Notamacropus eugenii: one gene and its partners. The protein of the gene in region 2 interacts with the protein of the main gene of each other region in a pairwise test. Links are inferred from orthologs where the notes say so. Each region holds a gene or a part of one and is shown on either strand. Other genes may lie near its edges. The genes, in order: TRIM42, KCTD9, GEM and SYT6.

What was found.
Region 1: the proteins of KCTD9 (region 2) and TRIM42 interact in binary tests that used the Homo sapiens proteins (3 or more experiments, as listed by UniProt). The two-hybrid records come from large-scale screens. The link is inferred for Notamacropus eugenii from reciprocal best matches to the Homo sapiens genes KCTD9 and TRIM42.
Region 3: the proteins of KCTD9 (region 2) and GEM interact in binary tests that used the Homo sapiens proteins (3 or more experiments, as listed by UniProt). The two-hybrid records come from large-scale screens. The link is inferred for Notamacropus eugenii from reciprocal best matches to the Homo sapiens genes KCTD9 and GEM.
Region 4: the proteins of KCTD9 (region 2) and SYT6 interact in binary tests that used the Homo sapiens proteins (3 or more experiments, as listed by UniProt). The two-hybrid records come from large-scale screens. The link is inferred for Notamacropus eugenii from reciprocal best matches to the Homo sapiens genes KCTD9 and SYT6.

What each region holds. Positions count from the first base shown.
Region 1 is NC_092876.1:325,567,281-325,574,975, forward strand, and holds the start of TRIM42 (tripartite motif-containing protein 42), read right to left. Parts: upstream 3,118-7,695; 5' UTR 2,988-3,117; coding exon of another isoform or gene 2,858-2,987; coding exon 2,668-2,857; intron 1-2,667.
Region 2 is NC_092872.1:743,223,944-743,231,124, reverse strand, and holds the start of KCTD9 (BTB/POZ domain-containing protein KCTD9), read left to right. Parts: upstream 1-3,999; 5' UTR 4,000-4,072; coding exon 4,073-4,186; intron 4,187-7,181. UniProt on the Homo sapiens protein: Substrate-specific adapter of a BCR (BTB-CUL3-RBX1) E3 ubiquitin-protein ligase complex, which mediates the ubiquitination of target proteins, leading to their degradation by the proteasome.
Region 3 is NC_092875.1:158,863,696-158,871,318, reverse strand, and holds the start of GEM (GTP-binding protein GEM), read right to left. Parts: upstream 3,115-7,623; 5' UTR 2,470-3,114; exon of another isoform or gene 2,459-2,469; intron 869-2,458; 5' UTR 833-868; coding exon 770-832; intron 661-769; coding exon 321-660; intron 1-320. UniProt on the Homo sapiens protein: Could be a regulatory protein, possibly participating in receptor-mediated signal transduction at the plasma membrane. Has guanine nucleotide-binding activity but undetectable intrinsic GTPase activity.
Region 4 is NC_092873.1:293,290,093-293,298,060, forward strand, and holds the start of SYT6 (synaptotagmin-6), read right to left. Parts: upstream 3,159-7,968; 5' UTR 2,579-3,158; intron 2,412-2,578; exon of another isoform or gene 2,334-2,411; intron 2,145-2,333; 5' UTR 1,779-2,144; coding exon 1,616-1,778; intron 929-1,615; exon of another isoform or gene 747-928; intron 1-746.

The DNA of each region.
Region 1 (7,695 bases), on a different chromosome or scaffold from region 2:
TATTAAATAAGATGGGTTTTAGCAGCAGGTAGCAACCTGAAAGTACTATGAAGTTACCCACATGCAATATATTCCATCTCGTCTCCTCTCATTCCATTGTGTGTTAAGTTATTTTTAGTTGTGTCTGACACTTCATGGCCCCATTTGGGGGTTTTCTTGGCAAAGATACTGGAGTAGTTTGCCATTTCCTTCTCCAGTTCATTTTACAGATGAACTGGGACAAACAGAAATGATTAAGTGACTTGCCCAAGGTCACATAGCTACTAAGTGTCTGAGGTCAGATTTGAACTTAGGAAGATGAGTCTTCCTGACTTGAGTCCTGGCACTCTATCATACCACCTAGCTTGCCCCATTCAGTTAAGCTGGTTTATTGTTCATCTGCATGGAGTGCCTTCATGAGATATAGGTACTGATATACTAATCCAATAGGGTTGCCCATCCAACTACATGCCTTAATTAGGACATTTGTTCTTCTTTCTCCTGTGTGTGTTAATTTCTTTTAAAAATGTCCATGAAGTCTCACTGAGAAGGCCCTGTGATATTTTTGGCACAGGGTCATCTGCAAAGATGAATGTTTGGAGAGCCTTAAAAATTCATTGAGTACTTAATAGTCCAAAATGTTGGACTAGGTGGAAAAGACCAAGCAGCTTGCAATTTAGAGATTTATGCACTTAACACAATTAGACACATATCCCATAATGTTCCCCAGTGAAAGTTGCTCCTCAGTATTCTTAATATATTAAAAATAAAATCCTACTCTAATGTAAGAAACTCTGCTGTTAGGTTTTAGGATCAATCCTTTAAGACACAACTCCCCATACACACCCTGTGTATAGTAGCCCAACAGTGTCTTTAACGGTCATTCAGAAAATAGTTTCCAGGTGGGCCCAAGAGATTGCATCAATGAATCAGTCAGAACGGGGGTAGTCTTCTGTGCTCTTTCTTCCTTTCCTGTGAAAACCTGTCCTTTTCAAGTTTCTAGCTAGGATGAGGAAAAAAGGGTAGATATACAGAATTACTGGTTTCTCCTCATTGAGATGAATGGTGTTGACTCCATTTCCTAGTATTGTGGATGGAGGAATGAAAAGGTATAAAGTTGTGTGAGGTACAGAGACTTGAAAAGTGAACATGACAGTGACAGGTATAAAGGTGAAGGATCACCTCCATGTAGGTGAGATATCACCTAGGTGAGAATCACACAAGGGGTGGGGAAGAGGGAAGTGGTGGGGAAGTTGAGTCAGTAATACAGTTGTGAAGATGAACATAATAGCACCTTAGGATTTATCTCGTTCAAACTTAGTTTTAAAGATGAAGGAACTGGAACACAGAGAGGTATCTTGATCGAGGTCAGTAAGTGTCGTAAATTGTAACTCAAACCCAGATCATCTGTCCAGGGCTTTTTATCCTACATCTAGAGTTTTATGTCTCTAAGAACTTTTTTAATCTTTTGTAATTTAAATTTTGGTCAACCAGGAATCTATCTCTAAAACATTTTAACATTGTTCCTGTGGCACTAACTACTCCCAGCAATGTTGTTTAGCCTAATGTTTTTTTTTAGACATCACAAAGTAGGATAGATTAAATTTTCAGATTAAAAAATTTTCAAATTAATTTTAAATAAAAATAATTTAAAACCACTATTTAATTGAGTACTTCTGGCATACTAGACATTATCTAGGAATGTGCTGTAAGGAATACCAAGAAATCAAAGGCATCATGCTTGCTGTCCAGTAGCCTGTATTCTAGCTGGAGAGACAAAATATAAATATACAAAAAAAAACCCCCAAATAACATTACAAGATGAAAGCATGCATTACTGATAACCACTGGTAGGATTAGACAAAATGCCAAAGTTTTTGAAATCAGAGATCCTGAGTTCAAGTCTTGACTAGCTGACTACTGTGTTACCTTGGCAAGCATAGTAACTTCTCTGGGTCTGAATTTCCTCATCTGTAAGATGAGATGAAATAACTTGACCTTTAAGGTCCCTTTCACCTCTAAGTTTGATGATCCTATGAAATGAGCAGTATACTAGAGTGGTTCAACATTTTCAAAGGTAGATTTAGAGTCAGAGGGCCTGGGTTTGATTGTCTACTCTACTGCTTACTATTTACTACTTTTCATGACCTTGGACAAACCACTTTAATTTTCCTGGGCATCAGTTTCCCGTATGTAAAATGAAAGGCTTGGAACTAGGTAACCTTAAAAGTTTTTTCTAACTTGAAAGACTTGAGTATCTCCTAAAGGAGAGAACAGTGTAGGCTTAGACAGTTAAATCTTTCTGGGCCTCAATTTCCCCATATGTAAAATGAGAAGTTTGGACTAGGTAACCTTTAAGGTCTTTGTTAACTTAAAGTCTTAGTATCTCCTGAAGGAGAGAACAGTGTAGACTTGGATAGTCTAGGGAGACTGCCAAGAGGGGAAGGAATCAGAACTGGGCCTTGAAGGATGAGGATAGACCTGGAAAAGTCATGCACTAGCCAGTGAGTGATACAGAAAGGAAGGGTCATGATTCCCAAGAGGCTGGGGGGAAGGAAGTCATGATGGTCTCTGCTTTGTTAGGGAAGTTGTTTATTAAACAAATCCTGGCAGAATTGACTAAAATGAAGTTGGCCTCAGCAGGTTATGATGGGCATCAGTCTGGGCATGGGTTCCTAGAGTACTTACGGGGAGTCAGTAGGGAAAGGTCCTCTGTAGCAGCAGCGGGCCTCATAGCAGTGACAGGTAGATGCGCCTGGTGGACAAATACAGCAGCACTTGAAGATGGGGTCATTGGCGCAGGAGCAGCAGCACCAGTGGCAGTTGGGAGCATCTGAACAGGTACAGTGACAGAACTGGCATACCCCATCATCTTCATATGGGCAGGGGCAACAGGTGCAGTTCCTTTCTGTAGTGAGAAGAAACTTCATGCATAGGCACATGCGTGACTTGGGTAAGATATGCTCCCATGGACAGCATGGAGAAAAGAGGCACATTGATTCATCCATGACTCCTATAAAATCCCTGCCTTCTACATGTGGTTCATAATGTTACCCTCTTCCAGAGTCCCAAGGTCTATTTGATAGCACACTCTATCTCTAAAAAGACCAGCTGCTTGGTTTCCTCAAGTCCATGACCTGTTTGTTACAACTAGGATGCCAAGGGACAGATGGGCATTTTCATAGGTAAGACTGAGTTCATTGTTTATGTCATAATCCCTCTTTCCCCTCTTTAATTCACCACACTGTGGGGCTGCAGGTGCCTGTAGGCACATTCTCCATGGACAATCAGCCAGTCTGTGGGATTGAAGTGAATAAAATGACTGGTGATCTTTTGCTGTCACCATGTAGTATGTAAGCTGAGAAGGCTAGGCTTTGGATTGCTTAATTCCTTGTCAGACTTAGGCCTGTGCTTCAGGTAAACCATCTGGGGATGCCATACAGGGTTTCCTGGGCTATGACTTAGTGGACTGAAGGCCTAGGCTTCCCCATAACTGTGCTCTCAGCAGAAAAGAGAGTTGAATTTAGAATTTGAGGTCCTAGGTTCAAATCCTGGCTCCTTGCAACCAGCAAGTCATTTCAGTTTCCTGGGCTTCAGTTTTCTCTTCTATAAAATGAAGAGGCTGGACTAGATTAGGGGTTCTTAACCCTTTTTGTTTCATGGATTCCTTTGGCAATCTGGTGAAGCCTATCTCATAATTATGTTTTTAAATTCATGAAAAAATGCATAGGATTATAAAAGAAAACAACTTATATTGAGATAGTTGTCAAAATATTAAAAGTTCCAAGTTCATGAACCCCTCAAATCTATCTAGGGACACTTGGAGCAGTTGAGGGACCCTAGGTTAAGAATCTCTTTACTAGAATGGCATCTCTGAATCTAAGACCATATGAATTGAAAACATAAGGAATCTCTAATTGTTCTTTTTCTATAGAAATACAAGTTAAACTATTGAGCCAAAACTTCCACCAGAGAGGCTGAGGTATGGGTAACTGGGAAACCCCAATATCAGCAACATGAGCCTAGAGGGAATGGCCTGGTAGGTACTTCAAGCCCTTTCAAAAAGATCTAACAGAGTTACTAACAAGGCTTTGCAAAAAACAACTACAACTATAAACCCAAGAATGATTTTTTTTTTTTTTAGCTGTAAGATAGACGGGACCACAGAATCAATCGTACCATCACATTGTATCTGTTGATCCGGGCAAAAATGAAAGCTTTGCAAGTGTTTCCACTTTGGGTGGAACTGACATTGATAAAAATGTTGGTGTCGTTCCATGTAGAACTTCTGATCCTGATGAACATCAGTCAATTGATGAGTTTTTGTCTATAATGTATGAACATCACAACTGCTAAGCAAAAGGTGCATTTTTCAGATTTTCCTCTTCTTTTAAGTAATAATGGAGTAAAACAAACTCTAAATAAAGCTTTTCAAGATCTGGGCTAATATTTTTGTTTCTTCTGCTTTAAACGATGCCTGATTTCATTAGTCAATAATGATAATCACCCCTCTTCCCCATTCCCTTCGCCCATGAAAACCAAGTTGGCGTGCACTTCTCAAGTATCATCACTATGTGTTACAATCATTTGCACATTCTTCATTCATATTCCCCTACTAAACTCCATGGGGCAAAAATTTTATTTCATTTCCATATTGCATCAACCCCATTACAATTGTCTGAAAATGATTAATACATATTTGTTGAAATTGAATTTTTCTCTTTTGTATAAGGGATACCTAAATCACTTGTATGATGCATAGTCAAATCCTTTTCAGAATAAGAGGCTCATAGAAGCTTAAAACTGGAAAGATTCACAGATCTACCTATCCAAGGCAGATCTTTGTCAGGGTAATTCTTCTATCTGCATATTTGCTTCTGCAAGTAGAGATGATATTGAGATATGAATGCAACAAAGAAAAATCTAGGATATGAGAAGTATGGAGAATCAAGAAGTCTCTCAGGAAAGGGTCCCACATGTACAAAAATATTTATAGCAGCACTCTTTGTAGTTGCCAAAAACTGGAAATCAAGGGGATGCCCATCAGTTGGGGAATGGCTGAATAAGTTGTGGTGTATGAATGTAATGGAGTAATTTTGTGCCATAAGAAATGAGGAACAAGAAGACTCCAGAGAGGCCTGGAAAGACTTATATGATCTGATGCTGAGTGAAAGGAGCAGAACCAGGAGAAATTTGTGCACAGCAACGACCACAGCGTGCGAGAGTTTTTTCTGGTAGACTTGGAACTTCATAATAACTCAAGAACTTAAAAAAAAAATTCCCAATGATTTTCTAAGGCAAAACGCCTTCCACACTCAGAGAAAGAACTATGGAATTCATTTGTAGAATGTAGCAGATCTTGTTTGTATATATATGTGTGTGCGTGTGTGTATTATGTTTTGATTTCTTATATGGTTTCTTCCATTTATTTTAGTTCATCTATATAGCATTACTGTAGTGAAAACATATTCAATAGGAAAGTATACGTACATCATATATAGAATTGTATGGCATCTTGGGGAGGGAGGGGAGTCGTGGAGGGTAGGCGGGGGGTAAAAATATAAGCTTTTTGGTAGTGATTGTGGAACATTAAAAATAAATAAACTTTAAAAAAAGATAAAAATATGGTAAAATACCAAAAAAAAAAAAAAAAAGTCAACTGGGCCAAGACTTTAATGCAAGGGATCTGCCTCCTCAATTCATAGAATCCCAGAATTAGGAGGGATGTGCAAGGTTATCTAACCTAACTTCCTATTAAAAGATGTACTATAGAATTTTAGGAACTAGAGTTTCAAGGGATCTTGATGATCAACTGGTTCAATTGTCTTTTTACAGCTGAAGAAATGAGGTCCTCAAAGGTGAGCTTATTTGTCCAAGGCTATCCAATAGCCAATCAAAAATGAGATCCCAGATCTACAGATTTCCTATCTCAGTTCTTTATTCACTGCACTCTATAGGTCAAATTAAGATAGCCCTTTTTGGAAGTGGTTTCCTCAGAGGTCCCTAATTTGGCATCTGCATTTCGCATATCCCATTCTGAGTCAAGTGCTCTCCACCCGGGAGAGCCCCACACATTCCGGGCAGTGTAAACAAAGGGAAGAAATGAGCTTCGTTTTGTTTTCCAGACATCTGAAGGGTCCCTTATTAGCACATTCCAGGTCTAGGTTGTAAGTTGTACAGCATTTGAAAGCCTTTAAAACGCCCTGATTGCATATTCACCTGAGGTCAGCCAAGTAGTCCCTTCTGTGAGAGATTCTCAGATACATGACCCAATTCGAATATATTTAAGATTAGCCCAGGTTAATGCGCTTTCCAAGAATTTTTAAAAGTACTGAACCTTGGCACAGTTTGCCACAAAGTTTCTTTCTGTGTGCATCCTGGGCAATCTCTAGTAATCCTGAGGAACATCAGGTCACTGGACTCAGATGGCTTTGGAGGAGAAGTGAGGTTGGTGACCTGCACAGCCCTCCCTCACTCAAAACAAATGAACGCTAGCTGGGCACCTCACCTCCTTCTCTCCTGTCTGCCTCTCCCTCCCCTAACCTCCTCTCCAAACTAAGGTAAATTTGGATGGCCAAAAGCTGCCCAGTTGACTTGGGTTTTATTGCTTCCTTCCCTCCCTTCCCCTCCTTTCCCTTCCCTTCCCCTCCCCTCCCCTCCCCTCCCCTCCCCGCCCCTCCCCTCCTCTTCCTTCCCCTCCCCTCCCCTCCCCTCCTCTTCCTTCCCCTCCCCTCCCCTCCCCTCCCCTCCTCTTCCTTCCCCTCCCCTCTCCTCCTCTCCTTTCCCCCTCCTCTGCCCTTTCCCCTCCCCTCCCCCTTCCCTTCTCTTCTCTTCCCTTCCCTTCCCTTCCTCTGTCTTCTCCCAAAACCTTAAACCTACTACACCCTGAAACTGGGACTCCAAAGAGCCCTTGCCAAGGGCTTCTGGAGCCCCCCCAGCTTCACAGTCATTATCAGTAGTAACTGTTGCTGTTTCCCACCCAACCTGATGTCTTTATTTTTCTTGACCTCATTAAAAGGGCCATGCCCTGGCTACTTCTTAAACAGGCCTATTCAATGAATGGGGATTGCCTCACCCTAAGTGAGTGCCTGCAAAGACCTTGGCCTAAAACGGCCCAAGGTCTCCCAGTGCATCCTGGGCCATCTCCAGTAATCCTGAAGAACATCAGGTCATTGGACTGACATGGCTGTGGAAAAGAAGTGGGGCTGGTGACCTGCACAGCCCTCCCTCACTCAAAACAAAGTCAAGTGCAAGTCATGTCATCATTTTCTGATGGTATGGTCTTCTTAGCAATGAAGGACTAACACGATCCTGTGAGTAGATGCAGCTGGCTGAATGCTAGCTGGGTACCTCACCTCCTTCTCTCCTGTCTGCCTCTCTCTCCCCTAACCTCCTCTCCAAACTAAGGTAAATTTGGATGGCCAAAAGCTGCCCAGTTGAACTGAGTTTTACTGTCTCCTTCTCTCCCTTCCCTTCCCTTCCTTTCCCTTCCCTTCCCTTCCCTTCCCTTCCCTTCCCTTCCCTTCCCTTCCCTTCCCTCCACTTCCCTCCACTTTCCTCCCCTCCCTTCCCCTGCCCTCCCCTCATAAACAAACATAAATTTGGAAGCCAGCACCAAGTAGCCAAATTGCATACAATACCTACCCCTTCACTCAGAAGGTTACTCCTTCTGAGAAAGAAGATATGATTCCTAATCTCGCTGGGAAGTCAAGATAC
Region 2 (7,181 bases):
GGCGGGGGAGGGGAAGGGACTTGGCAAGGTCAAGGTAATATAAATAGGATCCTACTGATAAGGTTGGGGTGTTGTGCCCGAAAGTACTCACACCCCCAGGTCCTGCTAGAATGAGTTCGACTCCAGACTTCTTAAAACCAAAGTTTATTAAAGATTCGCCACCTTGGGTTGCCTCTTAAGGAGCCTAAGCATTTGTAACGCTTGCACTCACCAGGGGGCCGGATAGAATCTCAGCTAGACGAAGTCTGAGCTGGATGGAATCTGAGTGCCTTCATGGAGGCGAGATGGAATTTATATACAGAAAGTCCGTGGGAAAGATCTAGAGGGGGTCTAGGGGTCTCCTAGGAGGGTCTAAGGAGGATCTTGATGGGATTGGGGTAACTAATGTTGTGATCCAGGGTGGGAAACAGCTGGAAGCCAATTCTGGATGGGATGTAGGTGGGGCTATCGAGAGGTAACCGACAATGGAAGGCCAGGCTAGGCCTAGGGCAACAGATTTGAGTATGAAAGGCCAGATTAAGTGGGAAGATTCAGGGGGAGTTCAAGGAAGTTCCCAGAGTCTGAACCTCATCTTTAGGATTGTAGATGTAAGACTGGAAGGGGTCTGACTCCATGTAGCCCACCCCTCTCATTTTATAGATGAGGAAACTGAGACTCATGGAGATGAAAACTAGCTTACCCAACAAATATAAACTTCTGGCAATTAAAAACCCTTCCCAACATAGCTAGTTTTCCAGGCATATTACATAGAAGTCCTTTTCACCTGTTCCATGGTTCCTGCTCTGTCCCTCTTAGGATCTTAGATGTAGAGCTCAAAGGGACTCATCTAGTGAAAGGGTAAAGTTTAATCATCCTCCCCTCCCCCCCCTTTCCCAATTTGGTAGGTAAGGACACAGATCCAGGCAGGTTAAGTACTATCTCCCCTTCTCATTACTCCACTTCTCATCTGTGCCTTTGCCTTGACCACCCTCCACATCCAAAATGCCCTCCCTCCTCACCTCTTAGAAACTCTCTTCCTTTAAGACTTTGCTCCAGGGCCGCCAGTTCTGTCTTGACTTTTCCTTACTCCTCCAGCCTCCTCCTCCAAAATCACCTTGTCTGTTTTGTATGTTACTGTGTTTTGGATATTTGCATACACATATATGTCTATACACATAGTATCTTCCCTCTCCTGTAATTTAGAGAGTTGTCTGGGGCCTTGGGAGATTAAAGACTTCTGGGATGGTTGATACTTTGGGCCTGACTGGTGATACAAAGACAAAAAATGGAAACCTCTCTGCACTTACAGAGCTTCTTTTCCTCTGTGGAAACAATGAATCCACTTTTAAGCATTTACAAAGTAAGGGAAAAGTCTTGGGGGAGGGGGAGGTGGGCGTGTCTCGGGGAAGAGAGGCCTATATATGTTTGCATTCCCTGGAGAGGCTTCTATTTCTTGGTGTCATATTTGAGATAAAGAGGGCCAGAGAGAGATAAGTACTGTAGTTTGGCCAGGATCCTTGGACTCTCGTCCTCTCGATTCCCAGGCAGGTAGTCCTCTCTTTCTACGGAGCAACCACCTGGCTCCTCTTGATTCCCAAGTTCAGTGCCTGAGTGGCCTGAGTTTATTTGGATGGAGTATGACAGGATCTCAGGTCCAGACCCAGACACTGCTTAGTTGCAAATCACTGGAAAGATTTCTGGTTTTGGAGTCAAATGGGTTAAATCCTGCCTCTGCCACTACTTTGTTTTTCTTTAGTCATTAGTCTCTTCTTGACCCCACTTGGAGTTTTCCTGGCAAAGATACTGGAGTGCTTTGCTACTTCCTTCTCCAGCTCATTTTACAGATGAGGAAACTGAGGCAAACAGGGCCAAGTGACTTGCCCTGTGGTAAATGTGTGAGACTGAATTTGAACTCAGGTCCTCCTGACTCCAGGCCCAGTGTTTTATCCACTGCACAACTGAGCTGGTTTTGGCATATCACTGTCATCTGAAAATGTATGGGTTTGGACCTCAATGACCTTCTAAGGCTCCTAGATTCGTGAGCCTCACCTCAATCATTTCACCATTCATGTTCCTGCTCTGTAAAACACTGATATTATGTGCACTGAGAAGGGATAGTAGAGGCTAGGGCCCTCAGCTTGAGAAAGATTTCCACTTCAGTTTCTTCAGATAATGTCTGTTTTCTGGGCTAGTCACTAAAGCGCCCTGTGCCCCCTGAGAACTGTCTACGGTAGCTAATCTGCCTTGGGGGATGGAATTTTCTCCTATTGTATTCCCTACAGCCACAAAATCTCTGGCCTGAACCTGGGAAATCCACCTACCTTTGAAGCAACTCTCAAAATTTTGCAAGCCCTATGCAAATGTGAACTGGGTTGAGTGTCATCCTGTGCCTGAGGGTTACAACAGGGAGTATAACTTTCTGGCTGGAAGGTAGGGGGAGGGGGAGCACGTCTAGATGAATGTACTGCGATCCAGATGCTGCATGCTCACAAACACCTTGGGCGCATTGTGCTGTTATATCTCCATTTTACAGGTGGGAAAACTGAAGTAGAGAGAGGTGAAGTAACTTCCCAGCATCACACAGCTAGTAAACTACCAAGACCAGATTTGGATTTAGTTCTTGCTGACTCCAGGTCCAGAGTTCCATGCACTGTGTGGCCAGCTGCCTTCCCAGGATATTGGGTGTTGTCTAATTCACATTTTGCTTTTACACGCTGGGAGAACTGAGAGGTGAAGTGACTTGCTTAGGGTCACACCTGTAGTTCCAGTTGCAGAGCTAGGATGCTGAGCCCCAATCCAGTATTCTTTCCAGATTATTATTGGCAAAGGCAGTGGAGGCCCAGGGCATTCTCAGAAAGAGAATCTGGCTGTGAGCTTCCAAATAGAGGAAAGCCTCAGGACCATAGGATGTGGATGCAGTGGGAAGAGTCCTTATTGATCTTCTAGGGTTAGGGTTTCCATATTTATCTGTCACTAAACTGCCAAGCTGGCCAGAGTTTGGCTTGGTTTGTCAGTAGCTGAGGGGGTATCATTACTGATGAGATAGAGGTCTCTTTGGGTCTGGCTTGGGGCCCACAGCATGAAGCAACAGGGAGGGCAGAGAGCCACAAGCTGTTTGGGACGCAAGGTCTGAATCACTGTTGTTGGTAGACTCTTCTTAAGATTTTTCTTTAGCTCCCTCCCCTAACAAACCAAAGTTAATGTGATTCTTTTATAGTTTTTTTTGTCGTTAGATTTTTTAAAAACTTGGAGTGTGTGTAAGTTCAATTCAACCTAAAATCAGATCGCAGCCCCTGGCATTTCTTAAATTCCTTATAGATTCTGCTATTCTACTGAGGCCCAGGGGGATACCAAGAGAGGCTAAAGACCATCCTGCCCTCTAGGGGCTCACTTTCTAATGCTGGAGACGATATGTAAATATCTAGGTTTATCCTAGAGTCAATGCAGAGTAGATAAACATAATGCCAAAGACTGGCACAGGACGGCTCAGCATGGTGGGCCCACATCAGAAAGGGTGCTGTGCTCTATGAGCAAAACAGAGTTTAGACAGCACAAAGGAAATGTAAGATGCCCAAATTTGTGGTATTCACCCCAAATGACATGGACTGTCTGTGCCTAATATGTAGTAATTCTGAGCTCGTATTGGTTTGATCAACTGCAGTAGGACACACTGAAATTTGACTTAATCATAGTGATGTCATTTTTGTCCTCTTTGAGAACGAAGGACAACAACCAACCAAGCATCTGGGTTTATCCTGGAGTCGATGCAGAGTAGATAAAGGTAACACCAAAGACTGGAAAAGGCCTCCTGCTTCAAGTGGGTTTTGAGCCAGTCCTGAAGGAAGCATTCCAAGCTGGGGCACAGCCCGTGCAAAGGCTCTGAGTTGGGAGATGGAGCATATGAAGAATTGCAGCAAGGCTCCTGTAGCTGGATTGTCAAGTGCTTAGAGAGGATTGAGGAGCCAGGAACCGCCAGAGTTCATGGCCGGAGATGAGGCCTGACCTGTGATTGGTGGAAGGCTAGACTGGAGTGGGCAGAGATGAGGCACAGAGATTGGTTAGAGTGCTGTTGCTGTGGGCCTGGCTGCAGGTGATGAGGACCTTCACCTGGGGGAAGGAGACACAGCAGGGATGTTGTAAAGAGGAGGTTTTTACTGACAAGACTGGGCACATTATTGAAACCAAACGTTTGAGTCAGACACAGTATGTAAGTATCACCGTGAAGCTTAAATCCTGTTGGAGGGAAGAGGGCTGGGGGTGTGGGGGAAGAAATCTTTGGCTTGTTTGGTTGTCATCTTCTCCCCAATTAACTGTTTGTGCCCCTTGTCAAGGTGTGACATCTAACATTTATTTTTCCCCCAAACCTCTACTATCCATCGCTAGAAACTGTTGGTCTTTGGGAGGAATATTTGTTTAATAATACATTTGTTAGGTCCCTGAATGGCAGAAAGGAGAAACTGGATTATTAGACGTTGTCCATGTATGGCCAGGAAACATTTCTAAAACCAGGGGTGTTTTACACCTGGTTAACAGATTGATTTAGAACCATCCTTTGTAGGGGAAATGCATTCAGCATTTGAACCACAACTTGTTTCATTGACTATAAAGCTGTTTTGCTTCCTCCTTGAGCTGATATTACTATCTAGTGTAATTCAAAGACCAGGATTATGGGTTTTAATGAAAGTTCTTTGATTTTCATAAATATTAAACCTACACATAGTTAAAAAGTTAAGTTCTCTCTTTGAACCTGACTTTTCTTTTTGTCCACATAAGTCAATCTTTTTCAGTGTTCAAATTTACCTTCATGTTGCTGTTTCCAAATACAAGTATAAAACCAAACTAACAATGAGGTGGGTTTTTTTTTTCAAGGTCATTGTTCATCATTTCCTAGAGTATGGGAATGAAATGTCTCGTTGAAGACAATTCTGTGCCACTTTCATTTGGCCTAAAGTTTTCATCCTCTTTGACCTTCTTTTTGCAGATGCCTTTTCCTATTATTCAAAATATAGAACTATTGTATTGTCACTGGAAAAAAATGACTTAGTACATCCAGAACCACAAAACATTTTTGTCCCTAGAAACAGGCCTCAGATCAACCTTTTACTTATCTAACATCTCTGGTATGTTACTGCTGGTGAAATGCCAACTGGCTAGGCAAAATCCAAGGCCTGATCGTGGAGACTTTAACTATATTCTTCATTTCCGTGGAATCACAGAGGTTTTGTTTGTTTGTTTTTAAGTTTTTAAATGCCAAAATTGAGGCATTGTCTGCATATATTTGTTCAAGGGTGTTGATTTTCTTTTAAAAGGTCATGAAGCTTTGGAGATTTTGGATTAAGAATAAAAACTTATTTAATTTTTTTCACTTTTTCAGAGAATTTTAGGAAAGTAATTAGCATTTCTCAAGTTTTGTAGTAGAATATTTCCAGATGTGGCTAAATTTATTCCAGAGGGATTACGCTAGTAAAAGGTGGAGACAATTGATATTGCAACAGAGCCTCAGAAATAAATCACACTACAAACCTTAAGTAACCTTTTTGTGTAAAATACCTTAAGATTTCTTCTATCAGAAAAACTATTTTTGAAAAATTTTCTTTTCATTTAAAAAATAGTTAGCAATATGGAAATGTTTTATATGACTGCACATGTATAATCTATATTAAACTGCTTGCCTTCTCAAGGAAGGGGAAGGGCAAGAATTTGGAACTCAAAATTTTAAAAAATCAATGTAAAAATATTTTGCTACATGTAACTAAAAATATATATAAATTAAATGAAAAAAAAAGAGAAATGATTGGCAAATGAAAGTTACAGGTTCTTTTTTTTTTTTAATGAGACCAAAAACTACCTAGCTTTGTTTTGTAGATCCGGGTGACATTTGTGTGAGCATGTTTTTGGTCCAGCGAAGAACTCTATCTCCCTCCCCCCCCCCCAGCCTTTCGCTCATCCTAACTCAAAGGTGAAACCATCTTTTTAGTCACCCTGACTCAAATCTGAGGTGTCATCCTTGACTCTTTACTTTCATTTCCTATATCCAGTCTATTGCCAAGTGCTGTCAGTATTATATACTTCCCCCTTGTCTCCTCTACTACTTGCCCCCACCCTGGTACAGCCCTCATCACACCTCACATCTCATCTATCTGGTTGGTCTCACTTTTTCAAATCTCCCCACATGAATCCCTGCTCCACTCACCTGTGATCTTCCTAAAACTCAGGTCTGACCATGTCACTGCCCTACATGATAAACTTCTGTGACTCCTCTCACCTTCACGATCAAATATAAAACCAGTCCTTTATAACCTGATCCTCTCCAACCTTTCTAGTCATTTTACACCTTACACCTTGACGTGGGCCCTTTAATCCAATGACTGTCTCTTCGTGGCGCTTCCATGAACAATCCATCTCTTGGCTCTGGGCATTCTCATGGAAGGGGAGGGCTGGACTGCCCTCCTTCCTCATCTCCTCCTCCTAACTCCTTTCCAGCTAAAATCCCACCCTCAGAAAGTCTCCCCTTGATGCCAGTGCCTTCCCTTTGTTGCTTACCTTCAGTTTGTCCTAGATTTATCTTGTTTGTGCAGTTATTGGCATGTTCCGAGCTTCTCTAGGGCAAGGAATGACTTCTGCCTTTCTTTGTATCCCCAGCTCTTAGCACAATGCAAGCTTGGCACATAGTGGGCATTTTATAAGTGTTTATTGACTGACCTATGATTTTATTTGTGTGTGGAACTCCCCTTTTGGAAACTCCACCCACTGGTGCAGATTGACCACTTTGGGGTGACTCACAGCTTTAAAAACGTTACATGGGGCATTGAAAAATTTGCCCATGGCTATCTAGCCTGTGTGCATCAGAAGTAGATTTGAATCCAACTCTCTGCCTCCAAGACTGCCACTCTGTGGTGCCTCTAGATATTTAAATATTGCTTTACAATCACTTTACATACTGTGACTTGTGATCCTCTGTGGATTCCTGTGAAGTAATAGTGTGCATTTTATCCCTATTTGACTTAGGAGGAGACTGAAAATTCAGAGGTTAACCAGGCCGTGTGCCATTTATCATTCTGTCACACAGCCCTGAATGTCATGTGGGGCTCCGGCCTGACTCATCTCCATCTCCTTTGATCCAAGGGCTGTCTATCACTGGTCCATGCCACCTTAGTTCTCTAGGAAAGGGGTGAAATTTAGCTAATGTTCATAAGATGATG
Region 3 (7,623 bases), on a different chromosome or scaffold from region 2:
AGTTATGGAAAGTGGAAATAGGATTCCATGTCCTTGGGTCTCACCACTAGACCTCACTTCTCTTTTTTGTTTAACCTTGGAATCCAAGCATTCCCATCTCTGGCCAAGATTCAGAAGATTTTGATCTTTGTCAATGGTTATTTTACTCTTTCTGGTCCACAGGGCTTGAACCAGAGACTTGTGACTTTTACATACCAGTTAGTGGCAAGAAGAATTATCTCAGTTCTAAACCCTACTGATAAGTAGCCCAGCTATTATGCTCTGCTTTAATGCTGATGTGGGCCTGTTGACTAGAGACAGTTCAACACTTAACTACCTACCTCCCAATACCTCACAGTCACTGTCCATGCTGTCAGTCACACCTGCAAAGATGTTGGCCAGGGTAGACTTGCCCACACCATGTTCCCCAATCAGCACCACTCGATAGTATGTATTTCCAGACTCAGAGGAAATGACTGAATCTGTGGAGTCAGATGACCAACTTCGCCGGTAATAGTCTTCTGGGTTCATGGAGTATCGGTTGCGGTTGTTGTATGAGTGGGGGTCTTTCTGGACCATCAGGTGCCTCCCATCGGCAGGGATGCTCCAGCGCTGCTGCTGTGCCTGCAGGGCCGTACTGCTTCGGCGCATGGTGACATTGTTCAGAGTCATTGTTGGTTCCTGGGGAGCAAACAGAACACCAGGATTATGTAGTTGGAGTTTCATCCATTTTTTTTTCATGAAATGAGAACTACAAATCCCCAAGAAACAAGGTACCAATGAAACAAACCTGAGCTCTGAGTGGTCCAAGTCTGAATTGCTCAGTCATACTCCTAGGAGTAGGATTTCTCATCTATTTCAGGCAGTGAAACAGCTCTAGGTGTCATTTCTAAGGGAAGGGAAAAGGCACCACGGATGGATCATAGAGGGATGAGTACTCCCCAGATAGGTCATACTTTTAGAATTAGAAAGTCATGTATTCTAAGTCACTGGTTTTACAGAAGAAGAAACTAAGGCACAGAGAAGTCAAGTGATTTTCAGAACCTCTGGCACCAAACCCAGTGCTCTCTCTACCATATTAAGCTGCTTCTTAGCTCCTGAGGGCTAATAATGAGTTGATCCTAAGGATGTCAAAGTCACAAACACACTAAAAAAAAAAAATCCTACTCCCTTTAAATCCACAAGTGAGGGATTCTGAGGAGCAGCAGACCAGGGACCAAGTTATCTTTCCAGCTCATTCTGCACTTAATTGCACTGACCTATCCATCAGCCTGCTTTGCCTTGGTTGGAAACCTACGGCAATGACATCATTGCCCTTCTGCTTGAGCAGTATATACATTGGAACTACCATGTTTAGTCACATTGCTTTGATGCTCTCCAGCTGCTGAGGCTATTATTTTAATGTTTCTCTCTGAGGTTTATGCCTCAACATTGCTGTCTGCTCACTGGCATGCCTTTAAAAAAAATACACCACCCTGATGATCACTATTCTGGCATTAAATGTGCATTCAGTTGCTTCCAAAACTATCAAACATGCCCATGCACATGGCTTTTCACTAAGTCCTGTTGAGATTTCTCATTAATTAAACGAAGTTTTTTAATCTTCTGGAAGCCTCAATCATAGAAAACAGATAGTGAAAAAAAAATGGCCCATTGGGCATCAGAAAGACATGAGGAAGTAATGGATGGTATTTGACTTGAATGACTTCAAATCTCTCTTCTCACACTTCCAAGCTGTGCGACCTTGGAGGAAGTCATTTCTCTGCTCTCGTCTGAATTTCCTCATCTGTAACAAGGGGGGTTGGATTGCCTGAGCTCTAAAATCCCTCCTTAACTATAAAATTTGTAGAATGATCAGCACTCTAACAAGTCCACTACAGCTTCTAGGCTACTGTATTGTAGCTCCCTTCCTCTTTCCTGGAGTTTTGTGAACTCAGATAGTACCTAGAGTGGAGCATTTACATTTTTTCCTCCGCAAAATTCATTCTCGGTAGCAAGAAATACATTGACCAAGAAGTCACTACAGGCGTTATCAGTCTCCAGACAAGCTGATCAAAGACATATAAGAACAGTAAGCCAAAGTGGCAGGGTTTTGTTTGGTTTTGCTTTGTTTTTGCTGGGAGGGGGAGAAACACAAGACATCATCACCATCCGTCTGCCCATCTGCCTTGAAAATTGGTACAAATTAATAGTATCATTCCCCTCTGTCCAAAAAAAGAATTGTCATTATCCTCATCTTAAGTTCTTTTCTCTTTTTTTGAACATTTCGAGCCTGGATCATAGACTCTAAGATCACTTTTCACTACTTAAAAAGTTCAGGTTGGCAGAGGAAGCCGCATTTACTACTCCCCGAGCCGCGTATCCCATGCATCCTCGTCCCATCCATCCGCACCCCTTCACTGCAGAGGGGGCTCTGGCCTCCGATAGATCCCCACGTTCCAGCTTAGCCTCCCAAGAGTGTTCATACATACACACTTACACACACGCTACCTGACTTTTCACAGTCCCTTCCAGTCAAGACAGCCGCGGGATCCTGGGGAATCTCTTCTTCACGCTGGAGCGAGCGAACGAACGAGCAAGCAAGTGAGCGCAGGCTGGTGCGCCGCTCTGCTGGAGTAAACTCCTCTCCTTCCCACTGGCTGACTCTCTCCAGCCGTTGCTCGGCTCCCCCAGGTTTATATTAAGCACATCTGATCAGGCAGGGCTTTTCCGTGACGTCACTGCCCTGGCCACAGAGCAGGCGGCCCCCCGCTGGGAGGAAACGGGTATGCAGAGAAGCCCAAAGTTGCAGACGCTCCCAACGAACACAAAATCAGTTACTTGCAGTCATATGATTTTTCTTCCCCCCTCCCTCTCCAAACCTCCACCCGCTTTTCCAGAGTGCCAGGGAAGCAGATCCTGTGACTTTTTTTTTTTTACAAGGTGAAAACAAGAAAATGGAAAAATACTCCAAGTGTCACTTAATCGTCTTTCCCGGCAATGTACTCGAGAGCTGCCCAGATGAAGGATACACAAAGGCTCGGGGCTGATTTGCAAAGTGGAGCTGGGGCTCCATTCATTCTGCTTTGTCACGACAGCATCGATCAGCCCTAGGTGCTGGAACATCCAGCCTCCGAATCATGAATCTGCAGCCACCTGGAGAAAGGGTGGGAGGAAGAGGGGGATGAGGGGGAAAGAGAAGGGAAACATTTATTTTAGCCGCATCTTCTGATGGAAGTAACAGCCTCGTGTCTCGTTTTACCCCCTCTTCGGCCCAAGAAAAAAAGAGTGGGGACAGCCGGGGAGCTATTCATGATTCTCTGCTCTTTCTGCGGAAAATGAGGAAAAGGGGGAGAAGGGGAGACACAGAGAGCTTCAAAGAGGACGGTTTAGGGAAGGAAACAATGAGATATCCAAACAGATTGTGGTAAATTCCCCTGACCCTCCCTACTTGCCTCTGCCCACCTTACTAGATGACAAACCCCCGAAATCAGTTGCAGGGCATTATAGCGTCAGGGCATTTGATCAGAACCTCAGTCATCATCATCGTCTCTGCAATAATCCCTAGACACATCAATCAGTACTTCAGGCGTGAGGCCAAAGCCATTAGCCAGGGGCAGGAATGACTTCTCCTTCAACCCAAGGCACCTAAGGGATTCCTTTGAATAGTGTGCATGTGATGTCAGTCCTAATCTACAGGCAAATGCACCTAAATTATCCCTTCTTAGAGGACACCTGAATTTCCCCAGATGCCCTATTGGGAGATGACTCAGGACATTTTCAATGTATCATTCTTTTCCTCTAGCTAACTTTGCTCCTGGCTTGGCCAATGAGTTGTAGAAGGAGCCAAAAGGCACTGCAGCTATCTCAGTAGCCAAGTTCAAATGTTCCTCCAATTTAAAGGAAACTACAGTCAATTTTTTTGGTTATCTGTGGGTGATTTATCTGCACTGTGGATTATCCTGAATGACTAGTTGCTGAAGAGAGAAGAGTTATTGAAACACCATTCAAATACATCTTTTCTTCTATCCAACCAGTCATACACATCTATTATAGACCACAGATTCTATTCCAACAGTCCCAAAAGTCCCAAAAGTCACAGAATGTCAGAATTTGGAAAGGACTTCAAGGAGGTATCTAATAGAACCCTGCTTGAGCAGCAATCTGCTGAACCACTTCCCTGGCAAGTGATCACACAGCTTCCACTGAAAGGTCTCCATCAATGAGAACCTCACCACCTTCTAAGGCAGCTTGGTCCACTTCTGAATAGTTCTGATTGAGGGGAGTCCTTCCTTACATGGAGCATAAACTTGCTTTTCTTCATTTTTCACCCAGTGCTACGAGTCGTGGCTCTGGGACTGAACAAAATAAATCTAATCCCTTTTCCATATGCTATTCCTCCAGATAATTTTAAGATATCTCTCAAGCTCCCTCCACAAAGACTTCTCCAGATCAATCAACAAGCATTTATTAAGCATCTACTCTGCATCAGACACCATGCTTGGGGCTGGGGATACAAGAGCAAATATGAAACAATATCTAACTCTCAAGAATCTTAGAAAATATTTTCCATTTCCTTCAACTAACATTTTTATGGCATGGTCTCCAGTTCCCCTCACTTTCTACTTGCCATTCTCTAGACATGCAACCAGACTATCAGTGTCCTTCCTAAAACGTGGCATGCCATAACAGGACACAATATTCCAGATGGTGTCTGATTAAGGCAGAGTACAACAGCAGAACTATCCCATCCTTCATTCTGCACACTATGCTTCTGTTAAGGCAGCTGAAAATCACATTTATTTTTTTGGCTGCCATGTCACACTCTTGACTCATATTGAGTTTGCAGTCACTAAAAGACAATAACTGATTACAGATAACAACTCTGCAGCTACCAGTTCTAACCCATGGACATGGAAAACATTCTTCTAGGCTTCTTTCTCTCACTCCAGACTTCCAATTGTTCTGATGTGGACATCTCCAGATAAATACTAGGTCTGTACCCCAAAGAGAACAAAGAAAAAGTGAAGGGACCTATGTGGACCAAAAAATATTTATAATGATTCTTTTTGTGAGGGCAAAGAATTAGAAATAGAGGGGCTACCCACCAGCTGGGGAATGACTGAACAAATCATGATAAATGATTGTGATGTTCAGTTGTGTCTGACTTCTTCTGACCCTATGGACCATAGCACACCAGATCCTTCTATCCTCCAATATCTCCCAAAGTCTGTCCAAGCTCATGTTCATTGATACTATCTCTCCATCTCATCCTCTGTTGTCCCCTTTTACTTCTTCCTTCAATCTTTTCCAAAACCACGGTCTTTTCCAATTAGTCCTGTCTCCTCATTATGTCACCAAAGTATTTAAGCTTCAGTTTTAGCATTTGTCCTTCCAATAAGCAGCCTGAATTAATTTAAGTGTTATCAGAAATGAAGAGAGATGGTTTCAGAAGAATCTGGGGAACTGATACAAAGTGAAGCAGGACCAGGAGAACATTGCTCATAGTAACAGCAATATTGTCATGATTATTACCTGTAAAAGACTTAGCTACTCTGATTGAGACAATGGAACCAAGACAATTCCAGAGAGTCCATGATTAAAAATACTATTCACCTCCAGAGAGAGAACTGATAAATTCTGAGTGCAGAGTGAAGGGTACTTTTTTCACTTTCTTTATTTTTCTTGCCTTTTATTTTTTTGGGGGGGGATAACTAACATGTAAATATGTTTTGCCTGACTTCATGTGTAAAATTGATATCATATTGCTTGCCTTTTCATTGGGTGGGAAAGGGGAAAAAGGGAGGAAGAGATTTGAAACTCAAAAGTTTTTCTCTCCAGTCATCCTGATGAATATCTGGCTCTGGGGGAGAAGTGAGGCTGGTGACCTGCACAGCCCTCCCTCACTCAAAACAAAGTCAAGTGCAAGTCATGTCATCATTTCTCTGATGGCATGGTCTTTGGCAACAAAGGACGAACACAACAACAGCAACAACAACAACAAAAACAAAAACAAATAAATAAATAAAGGGGGTAAAAGAAAAGCTAATTTGCATATATAAGTCGATAAGAAAACCATCTTCTATGATGAAATCATAAAGTTGGAAGAAGACATTAATGGTCATCTACTCCAACTTTCTGTGCAAAGCAAGTATCCCTTCATAAGTCCCTTCTTCATTAAGACCAATTCCCCATCCACACTTACCTCACCATGCCCCCATACCACAATCCACACACACACTCTTCTGCCAGGAGCAGAGAACACAGAAATATATACTTGTTAAGGGTTGTTCTTTGTGGGGGGTTTTTAAATTTCGCTTGTGAACTAGCTTCACCATCTTCACAGGTTTATTCACTAAAAAGAGAGGGAAAAGCCCCATTCATCTCATAAAGAATTCTTATTTGTGGAGTTTCAATTCAATCCAATTTGACATATTTTTATTGAGCATCTACAATGCTTTAAGGCACAATTCTAGACACAGCCTCCATCCTGATGGCTCCATAACATTCTAACAGAAAATTCCCCCTGTATAGTAATGGAGGTGGAGAAAGGAAGGGAGGGAAGACAGGAAGCAGAGTAAACCTGTGCTTCCCTCTGTAACCCTCCCCTCAAAGGCTCTGTCTTGATGCCAATGATCCGGCTACTCTTTGGGGGCCACTCACGTATCTTCCTCACTGCTCTGACCCACATGGAACTTGAGGGTTCACATTGCTGGCACCTCACCAATTCCCTCACTAGCATTTTGGCTCACAAAACTTCAGGAAATTTTATTTAGACAGTGAGGGGAAAAGAAAGGACTCCTATCTAAGCCCATAAAGAATCAAGAGCCCCTGCTCAGTTTCTTTTTGAGCAACACTTCCAATACACAGCCCAGGGACCCACCCAGCCCTTATGATTCACAGCATTATCCTCTCCTCTCAAGGACAAAATGGAAATTTCTGAAAGCCTTTCAGTTTGGCTCCTGTTTATCATTACAGACATTTCATATGAGTTGCCTTCACATAGTTGATATTCTAAAAAAACTAAACAAAAACAGCCTAATTGCTGTTCCCCATATGAAACATTCCATTTTCTAGCTCCATACCTTTATGTAGGTTGTTTTTCATGCCTACGATGTTCTCCCTCTCGGAATCCCTCACTCCCTTCAGGTTCATCTCTGGTGCTTTATGAGGTCTTTTCTGATCCCCCTTATTATTACTGTACTTCTACCCTGCAAAGAAATTAATGCATATATTTGCATACCTTTTGGGGGGGGAGAAGGACCAGCAACTAGAATTAAATGTCTTGTCCAGAATCATATTAGTAAGTATGTGAGGCTGGATTTGAACTCAGGACCTCCTGACTCCAGGGCCTCAACTCCATCCATTATGCCACCTAGCTGTTCCTGGTAGTTATTTTTCTATATCCCAGTCATATCCCTTCTCCCAGTGGAAAAGAAGATCCCTGAGGGCAAGGACAATTTTTTTTTGTCTTTGTAACTCCTGTGGGTACATAATAGTGTACTCATTTGTTGTTGTTGAGTTGTTTTAGTTGTGTCTGACTCTTTGTGACCCCATTTGGGGTTTTCTTGGCAAAGATATAGGAATGGTTTGCCATTTGGTTCTCCAGTTCATTTGATGGATGAAGAAGCTGAGGCAAACAGAGTTAAGTGATGTGCCCAGAGC
Region 4 (7,968 bases), on a different chromosome or scaffold from region 2:
TTCCACTCCTAGCTAGCACAGAGCAAAAACCCACCGTCGCCCTTTGCTACCGAGGACGAGACTAGGGATTCTTAGCTTCAGTATATTCAAGGGTGAGGGATGGGGAAGGGGGGAGCCTGGGATTTTAATTTCAGCTTCTCTCTCTTACCCCTGTCTCACTCCCTGGCTTGCACCTATCTACTAGCACCGTGTAGACAGACACACTGGTGAGGCCTTGAGAGCTTTCCCCCATTGCTCTACAATGACCCCCATTCCTCCAGGGACTTAGGAGAGGGAAGTGGGGCTTAGGGAGCTGAGATAGACCCCCAGTCTTCCTTTCATCTCTGTAGAATTTCCCGACACCCCCTCCGAGCCAACCCCAGTTCCCCACTGAGAATCTCGGCTACTCGCAGGTGTGGAAGGGCCGACCTCGAATCTCCTCGCTCCCTTCGAGTACCCCCACCTTAAGTCTTATATCCCGCTGTGCTGCCACCCCACCAGATGTTGGAATCTGGACAAAGAATCAACATCTGCAGACCAAGGGCTGCGAGATGGGGGGGGGGGGGTACTGCAGGAAGCTCATCAGGTCCTCAGAAACCCAGGTAAACGCCCCCTCCTACTCTAGACCCAGTACTTCCCCCTCCAGGCTCTGGCACCACAAAGTCCCCCACGGTGACTAGCTTGCCCATAGCCCACTGTCGCGACTCCGCCGAGCCACTGCGGCCGCCGCCGGGCCCCAGCGTAGGGGCTCCGGGCTCGGGACTCACCCGGCTCGGGTTCCCGCTTTGGCTCCGCAGCCTCTCTGGGGCCGGCTCTGGGTGTCGGATCCTGGGGGCTACTGGAACTAAGGCGCCGGGTTCCGAAAGTCAGAGAGGAACCGGCTCAGTCCCCGCACCGGCCCCGAGTCCGAGTGAGTCACGGAGAGAGCGCGAGCGAGTTATAGAGGTGGTGGTGGTAGGGGGTGGGACGGGGACGCGGAGACACCCTTCCCCCTCCTTTTCCCCCGCCCCCCCCACCCCCCCGCGGGGACGGAGAAATAGACCGAGCCAGAAAAAGGCACTGGTACACCAAAACCCGCGATGGAGGCACAGAGTCAACGCAAGTTTCTAGCTACCGTCCGGGGTGGGGGTGGGGGCAGTTGCACCTCCCGGGAGACAGAGATGTAGAAACAGAGACAGAGACACAAAGCTCTCTGCAGCTGGGGAGGTCTGTCATCTCTTCTTCTGACCTTTCCCTGGGTATTTTGCCTTCTCTTTGTGGGAACAGAATCTCCCCATCCTTCAGAGAGAAGAAACTGAGGCACATTGGAGCGCTGTTCCCGAGTTGCAGAGGGTCCCCGAACTAAACCGAAGAGTCTAGCTCTACACTAGGAGCTTTCCGAGTCGCACTCTGAGGGGAAAAAAACAACACCCCCCCTCCCACCAGCCCCACTCCTCAGCACCCTTTTTTCTGACACTGGCAAGATCCGAATCCAGAGCATGGCACTAAGGGAATGGATGGAAAGAAATGTCTGCTCCTTCCTCTTCAATCTAATCTTTGCTCTTAGGGGAGGGAAGGTATGAGAAAAAGAATCTCCGCATTAGGAAGAGGGGTTGTGGCAGGGAAAGTAGGGGAGGGCGAAGGATCGCCCAGTTACCTGTATCTGCAGAACTCGGACTCCGCTCAGGGGGCTGCAGCTCGAAACTCCGACAAGTCTCCAAGTCCAGACCCTGGGGGGGCGGCTGCCCCTGACATAGCGAGGCCAGGATTCCCAGCGCCGCCTGGCACCTCGCCTCCTCGGACCCCCCCACCCTGCTCATGCCCCGGACCCTCCCCCCTTCCCTGTTCAGTGCACTGTGGCTTTAGTCCCGTCCCGCCCAGCTCCCTGCAGCCGTTCCAGGTCCCCAGCTGCTGTCGGGCTGGGGCGGGACAGGGCGGGTCCGCAAGAAGACCCTCCCCCAAACAGCCCCAGGCGAGTCACCGCACTTGCATTTGCCAGTCTAGGCTTTTAACCACTTGTCTACGGGGTCTCCGCCCCTTAGTGAGATACAGACACCACAGAGAAATTCAGTTCCCGCTCGTCAGCACCCTCTTTACGTTTCAGTGTCTGGTCTGGTCCTGGTCGGAGTACTGTGTCATTGGGGAGTGGGTTGGAAAGAGGGAGAGACTGATTGATGCCTTGGAGGCTAAAGAAGTAAAAAAAATAAAGGGTGATTAAGTCCAGGACTAGTAGGATCCTAAGGGCATATCTTAGGAACCCAAGGCTCCCAGGTCTCAAAAAGAACAGAATTGAGGGAGGGGTTCGGGCCGCTGGGCGAAGGAAGTTGGTTAAACTTGCAGTATTTTTTTTTAATAAGAGGGAAATCTATCCTCACCCCAGGACTGTGGAGCGAGGAGAGGGACTGGGGTTCAGGGGCTTTTAGAACCCCGCAATCCGCTGGTCGCGTCACCCACTCGTTGCCATGGCGACAGAAGGCATCGGCTGTCTCTCTCCATGGCAACGAGAGGGAAAAGTTTCAGGAGAAATGGGCCGGGGGGGGGGGGGGGGGCGGGAAGAGACGACACTTCACCGGGTCGTCCTTTTTCAAGTCCGTCCCCCTCCCTCAGGATCGAATCGCACCTCATTTCCCACGTATCTTCGGGAAGCTTCACCATAAAGATGGAAACAGACCGAAAATATTACGGTAGGGCTTGAGGTTAGACAAAACGAAGAACTTCCCCACACAGTGAAGTGAGAGATTAAGCACCAGTTGAACGAATCTAGGACGTTTCCATCCATCTAACCCCTTCCCCTCTTTCTGGAGATAAATCTCTCAGCTCTGGAGAGATCTACTCTGCGGCTGCCTGACGGTGTGGGTTAGGGGAGGAGCTACTTTGTTCAGAGACAGGGGCATGGATGAGACGGTGCGAATCTCTTCTTCAACAGAGTACGATCCATTTTCTCGGAGTGGAAGCGAGGTCCTGTGCCTGGCATTTTAGCCATGGTCTTCACTTCCTTTCTTAGCGGTTGAAAGTCATTCTTTGGCGGTAGCCTCCGGAAGCCACGGGTTGGCTTGTTCCCGGGCTGGTTGTGGGAGGAGGGTCTTTACTTCTAATTAACACACTAATTGGAAGTGGCTCGGGCTGTGACTCACGTTCCGGAGCTTTGAGATTCTCGGCGAGGGCTTTTGGCGGTAACAACAGCACGCGCCATCTGTGAACCCCTTCATCCCCCACCCCACCCCCCACCCCAGGCAGACCCTTTTGAAATGTAGCTCTCCTCTGACTTTCCCCCACCCCCCCCCCATCAGAGTCCCCCATTTCCCAGCTGGCTATGCAGTCCCATCCTAGGGGGAAATAGTTGGGTTGCAAGGACCAGAGAAAAAGGCTTCATCTAGCTTTTAAGGTTTCTTGGTCCTCATCCCATTGGGGCCCCACCTCTGTCCAAGGTGCTGATGATCTCTCTCTCTCTCTCTCTCTCTCTCTCTCTCTCTCTCTCTCTCTCTCTCTCTCTCTCTCGCTCTCTCGCTCTCTCGCTCTCTTTCTCTCTGTGTGTGTGTGTGTGTCTCAGAACAGCATGGAGTTGAGTTCATAATGTGATTTGACTAGCTAGGTACGTGATAATTGGGAAGGGACTACCTTTCTGCCTTGGTCCTTAGGTATGGGTGACAGTGGCTGCGTGGGGTGGGGGGGTGTTGGAGGGTGAGGAAGGATGCGGAGGGAATTGAGAAACTAAAGAAAGGAGATTATGCTGCAGGAAGATAGTCAACTCTAACATACCCTGAAATCAGGGAAGTCTTCTTTCCTGGAGGGGAGATCTGGTGGCATTTTACTGTTTAAAGTCAGACAAGGCCGTGTGTGTGTGTGTGTGTGTGTGTGTGTGTGTGTGTGTGTGTTCGATATCTGGGAGTGTGACCCATGTCTCTAAGGCCCAACTAAGGTGTTAAGAGAGCTTATTTGTATCTCCTCCACTTCCAAATGCTAGCAATCCAGAGACAAGGATTCAGATGCTCACCGAGGTCTATCTTCCCTACTCTCCCCCCCACCCCCATCCCAGCAAACTGCTCATTAGCTTCTTCAGGAATGGAGTATCAGTATTTATGTATTTATGTAAAATAGCCATAGAGAGTAGTTCAGCTCGTGTTTATAGCAATGCTACTATTCTCAGATTTCTCCTCCCCTTCCCCAGTTACAGGGGAAATTGGAAGAACAAAGCTCTTGTTTTGTTTTTCCAGAGAGTGAAACAACACAGGACCACACCAACAGCCAAGGCCTGTGATGCAGGGAAATCAATATTTTGCTTACAACTAGTCAGGGAATTTGCATCTAAACAGAAGGCTAAGGAGCCTTTTTGGAGCAGAGAAGGCGGCAGGAGCCACAGAGAGCAGAGAATTAAGAGAAAATTTTTCATTGTTCCTGGATTCATCCCCCACACCAGGCAGCTGGGACCTGCAGTGTCTCCTGCGGTCACAGCAGCAGCCAGGACCTGGTAATTCTCAGCTTAAATGGGAAAAAACATTTGCCCTGACACTGCTGTAGGAAGACTCAAAGCTCTGATGCTCCTGTGGTCATGTCAATAGCTATTGAATTTGGGATATGTGTGTGTGTGTGTGTGTGTGTGTGTGTGTTTGTGTGTGTGTGATAAAGAGATGGAGACAGGCAAAGATCTCTGAAACAGAAACAGAGAGTTTGTGAGATAATTCCTGAGCACATTTTAAAAGTCTGTGACTACAGTAACCATAATTTTGTCAGGATGACCAGATCGCATGGATTGTGAAAGAAACTGTGATTTTTGTCAGCATACGGACCTTCCAGTGTGTCAACCTTTCACTGAGACAGATTAAAATCAATCGGTGACTTAGTAGAGTCTTGGGAGTGGGGTGGGGCAGGGATGGAGTTGCTTGTCCCCTGACCCACACCCACCTACTCTGGGAGAATTGGGAGATGGGATGGGAGGAGGGGAAAAGGAATAGAAAGATAAAGGGGTAAGGGGAGATTGAAGGCTACTTAATAGTTACTTACACTGGTCTAGAAGCAGCAGAATGGATATCTCAGAGCTGGGAGCACTGCTCTCCTTGTGCCTGTTTTCTTTCTCTCTCTCAACTAATCTGTAAATTGTTCACAATCTCTTGTGGGTGAACCTTTCTGAGCCTCAGATTCTCACAGAGCAGATACTGAAAAGTCAAACCAGCTCAGACATACTTCTGGGAAATCAGCAGAACCTCTAAAGGCTCAGGTCACTGTGTCCCACCATGGGGGAGAGGGGAGCCCAAAGTGCAGAGCTCTTTCCCTCTCCTCCCCCACCTTTAATCCCAGGCCCTGGGGGTGATTCCCTGACATCCTGCTGGGCACAGAACCATCCTGTATTATCCTGTTAAGTTTTGCCAAAATAAAATAATATATATTTTTTCAAATGGAGCCCAGGTAGATAATCGCTGCTGTGGTGGGTGGGAAGAACAGTTTCTTTGACATGAGCTGATGTGTCATATTGTCTTTCTCTCTCAATGTGATTTATAAATAGGGAGCCCTTACCCCCCTCCCTCTCTCCCCTCTAAGCCCCCAGCACAGAGTTAAAAGAAACAGTCTGATGTTGGTACCTGGGATTGTCTAACACACACACACACACGCACGCATGCATGCATTCATGCACGCACATACACAAGCATATACACACACCGTTGAATTACAGTGCTCTAACCTGAACCAAAGGGAAGTCTTGACTTGCCCTGTGTAGCTTTTAGGCCCCCATCCACCCCTATACCCTTGTGGTGTCACACATTCCAGTCACCTGGAGGTCACTTCTGCCAAGGCTTTTTTTTTTTTCCTTTGAGAAAACATGTGGTAGTGGGAAATGGGCTCTTAATGGTGGCAGATTCAAGTCTGTACATGTTATTAATGGCAGTAGAAATGGTTTTGGTGTCCTTTTCTATTATGTTTCAACATTTGAGCCCTAAAATCAGCATATAGCTCTCAGGGCACAGGTGGAGGTTCTCAACTCTGCTTGAAAGAATATCTTTTCTCTATGCCAGCCCCATCCAATGCCCTCTACAAAACAGACTTAACAAATCCCCATAATCCAGGCTTCAAAGTGGGGTTTTCAGGGACCCCTCTCACCTCTAGATAAAGTACAAAGGATTCTTAGAAGGTCACAGAGTTAGCCTGGGGAATCTAGCTCTGGCTCCCTTCCATGAAGGGTCCCCAGTTCTCAACCCACACTTAATCACATTTGCCTCTCATTTCAGATGAGATCTGAATCCTCTGAGGTTTTGGTTTCTTGCCAGGCCAGCTACAGCCTGGAGATCCAGAGCCTTCCTCAGGGAACAATGAGAAAGGATCAGAAGACAAATTTTACATACATCATGGTCTTGCCTGTGGCTGGCCTTGACCCTGTCTATTCCCTTGATTTGGGTTGATTTGTTTATTTGAGTTTTCTTTAAGAACTCACATCTATATAATATTTTATGATTCCAAATCACTTTATATATATTTTCTCATGAGATTCTCATAATATCCCTATGTGGCAGATAGTGAAAGAAATTATTATCCCTACCTTATAGGTTAGAAAACTGAGACTGAGAGAGGTCAATATTCCCATTTACAGATAAGCAAATGGAAGCTAAGAAGGGGGAAGTGATTAGTCCGATGAGGCAAAGGTAGGAACTGGCCAAGTCAGGGCTTAAATATAGACTTTAGGATTCTCAAAGTACACTTTGTAAGTGCCAACACTCAAACACAGATCTTCTGCCTCTGAATCCTGTATTCTTTCCAATATATTACATAACCTCTCTTAATCTCAGTGATGGATGGCACCATTCATGTGAAAGAAGGCTGGTAGCCAGATCCAAGGGGGTCCTTGCAGCCATGGTCCTGCAGTTCAGAGAAAGTGGACAGTTGGTGACCTTGTTCTTGAATGAGTCTTCTCCTGTTGGACTGAAGTCCAAGAGGGTAGAGTCAGGAGTTGGGGCAGGTATTTCTGGGCTGCTTCACATAGTCAATGTAACCAGTTTCCTGGAAAGGGCCAAGATGAGATTCTTGTAACAACAAGGCCTCAAAGACTGGAATTTTCCCTAAGGAGCAGGGAGAGAGTTTGCAATGTCAGGACTCTGGCTGCTCTGCTAATGAAAATAAACCAGATAAAATGCCAGAGCTAATTAAAGTGACAAATCTGGAAAGGCCCTGTCAAACTGAGGAAGTCTTAATCTTTGATTTCAGCAGAATTTAGGCAGTTCTGATGAAGCAGGCTTCTGATTGGTGGCCTAATGGACCTTGGAGGTAAAGGAGAGCTGGATCCCCTGGAAAGAGCAAATCTGTCTAGCCAGTCAATCTTCCCTGATTGTTCAAGGGTGAAGAACAAATGACTTCTCACCACCCAATCCCCAAACTTCCTTTGCATGAGACGTAAGCTCCTTGAGTTCCAAAATCCACTGACTTTGAGATGGGCAAAGGGACTGTGGAATAGTCAGCCAAAAACATTGATTTAGCACATCTGTTACGTAGGACCTTATCTCAGGGACTGGAAGAAATAGAATATGTGACTTTTGTCACTTAGAACTCGAAATGAATTACTGATCTGGGGAGTTGACATGTATCAAATAAATAAATGAGCAAACTAGAAGAGTATAATATAGCGCTAGTTTCAGAGGCTCTTTTTTGACTCACAGGCCCTGGGTACACTTTTGAGATTTATATATGTATGTGTGTGTGTGTGTGTGTGTGTGTGTGTGTGTGTGTGTGTGTGTAATAAATACAAGCATAGACATTGATAGATATAGATATATAAATAACATAATATTTTATTTGATATATCAAGTAATAATATAACATGTTATATCTGATATGATAAATATGTTATATTTATAAACGTAAGTATATGCACATTACAAATTTATTTATAAATATATATGTAAATAAATATAAACATATATGTACACCTAATAGTTTTTACAAAATGATAGAACTTGAGAACTTCAATAAGTGTGGTCATGAGTTTCCCTTACAAGTACTTAGACACACAAGCTTCAAAATATAGAA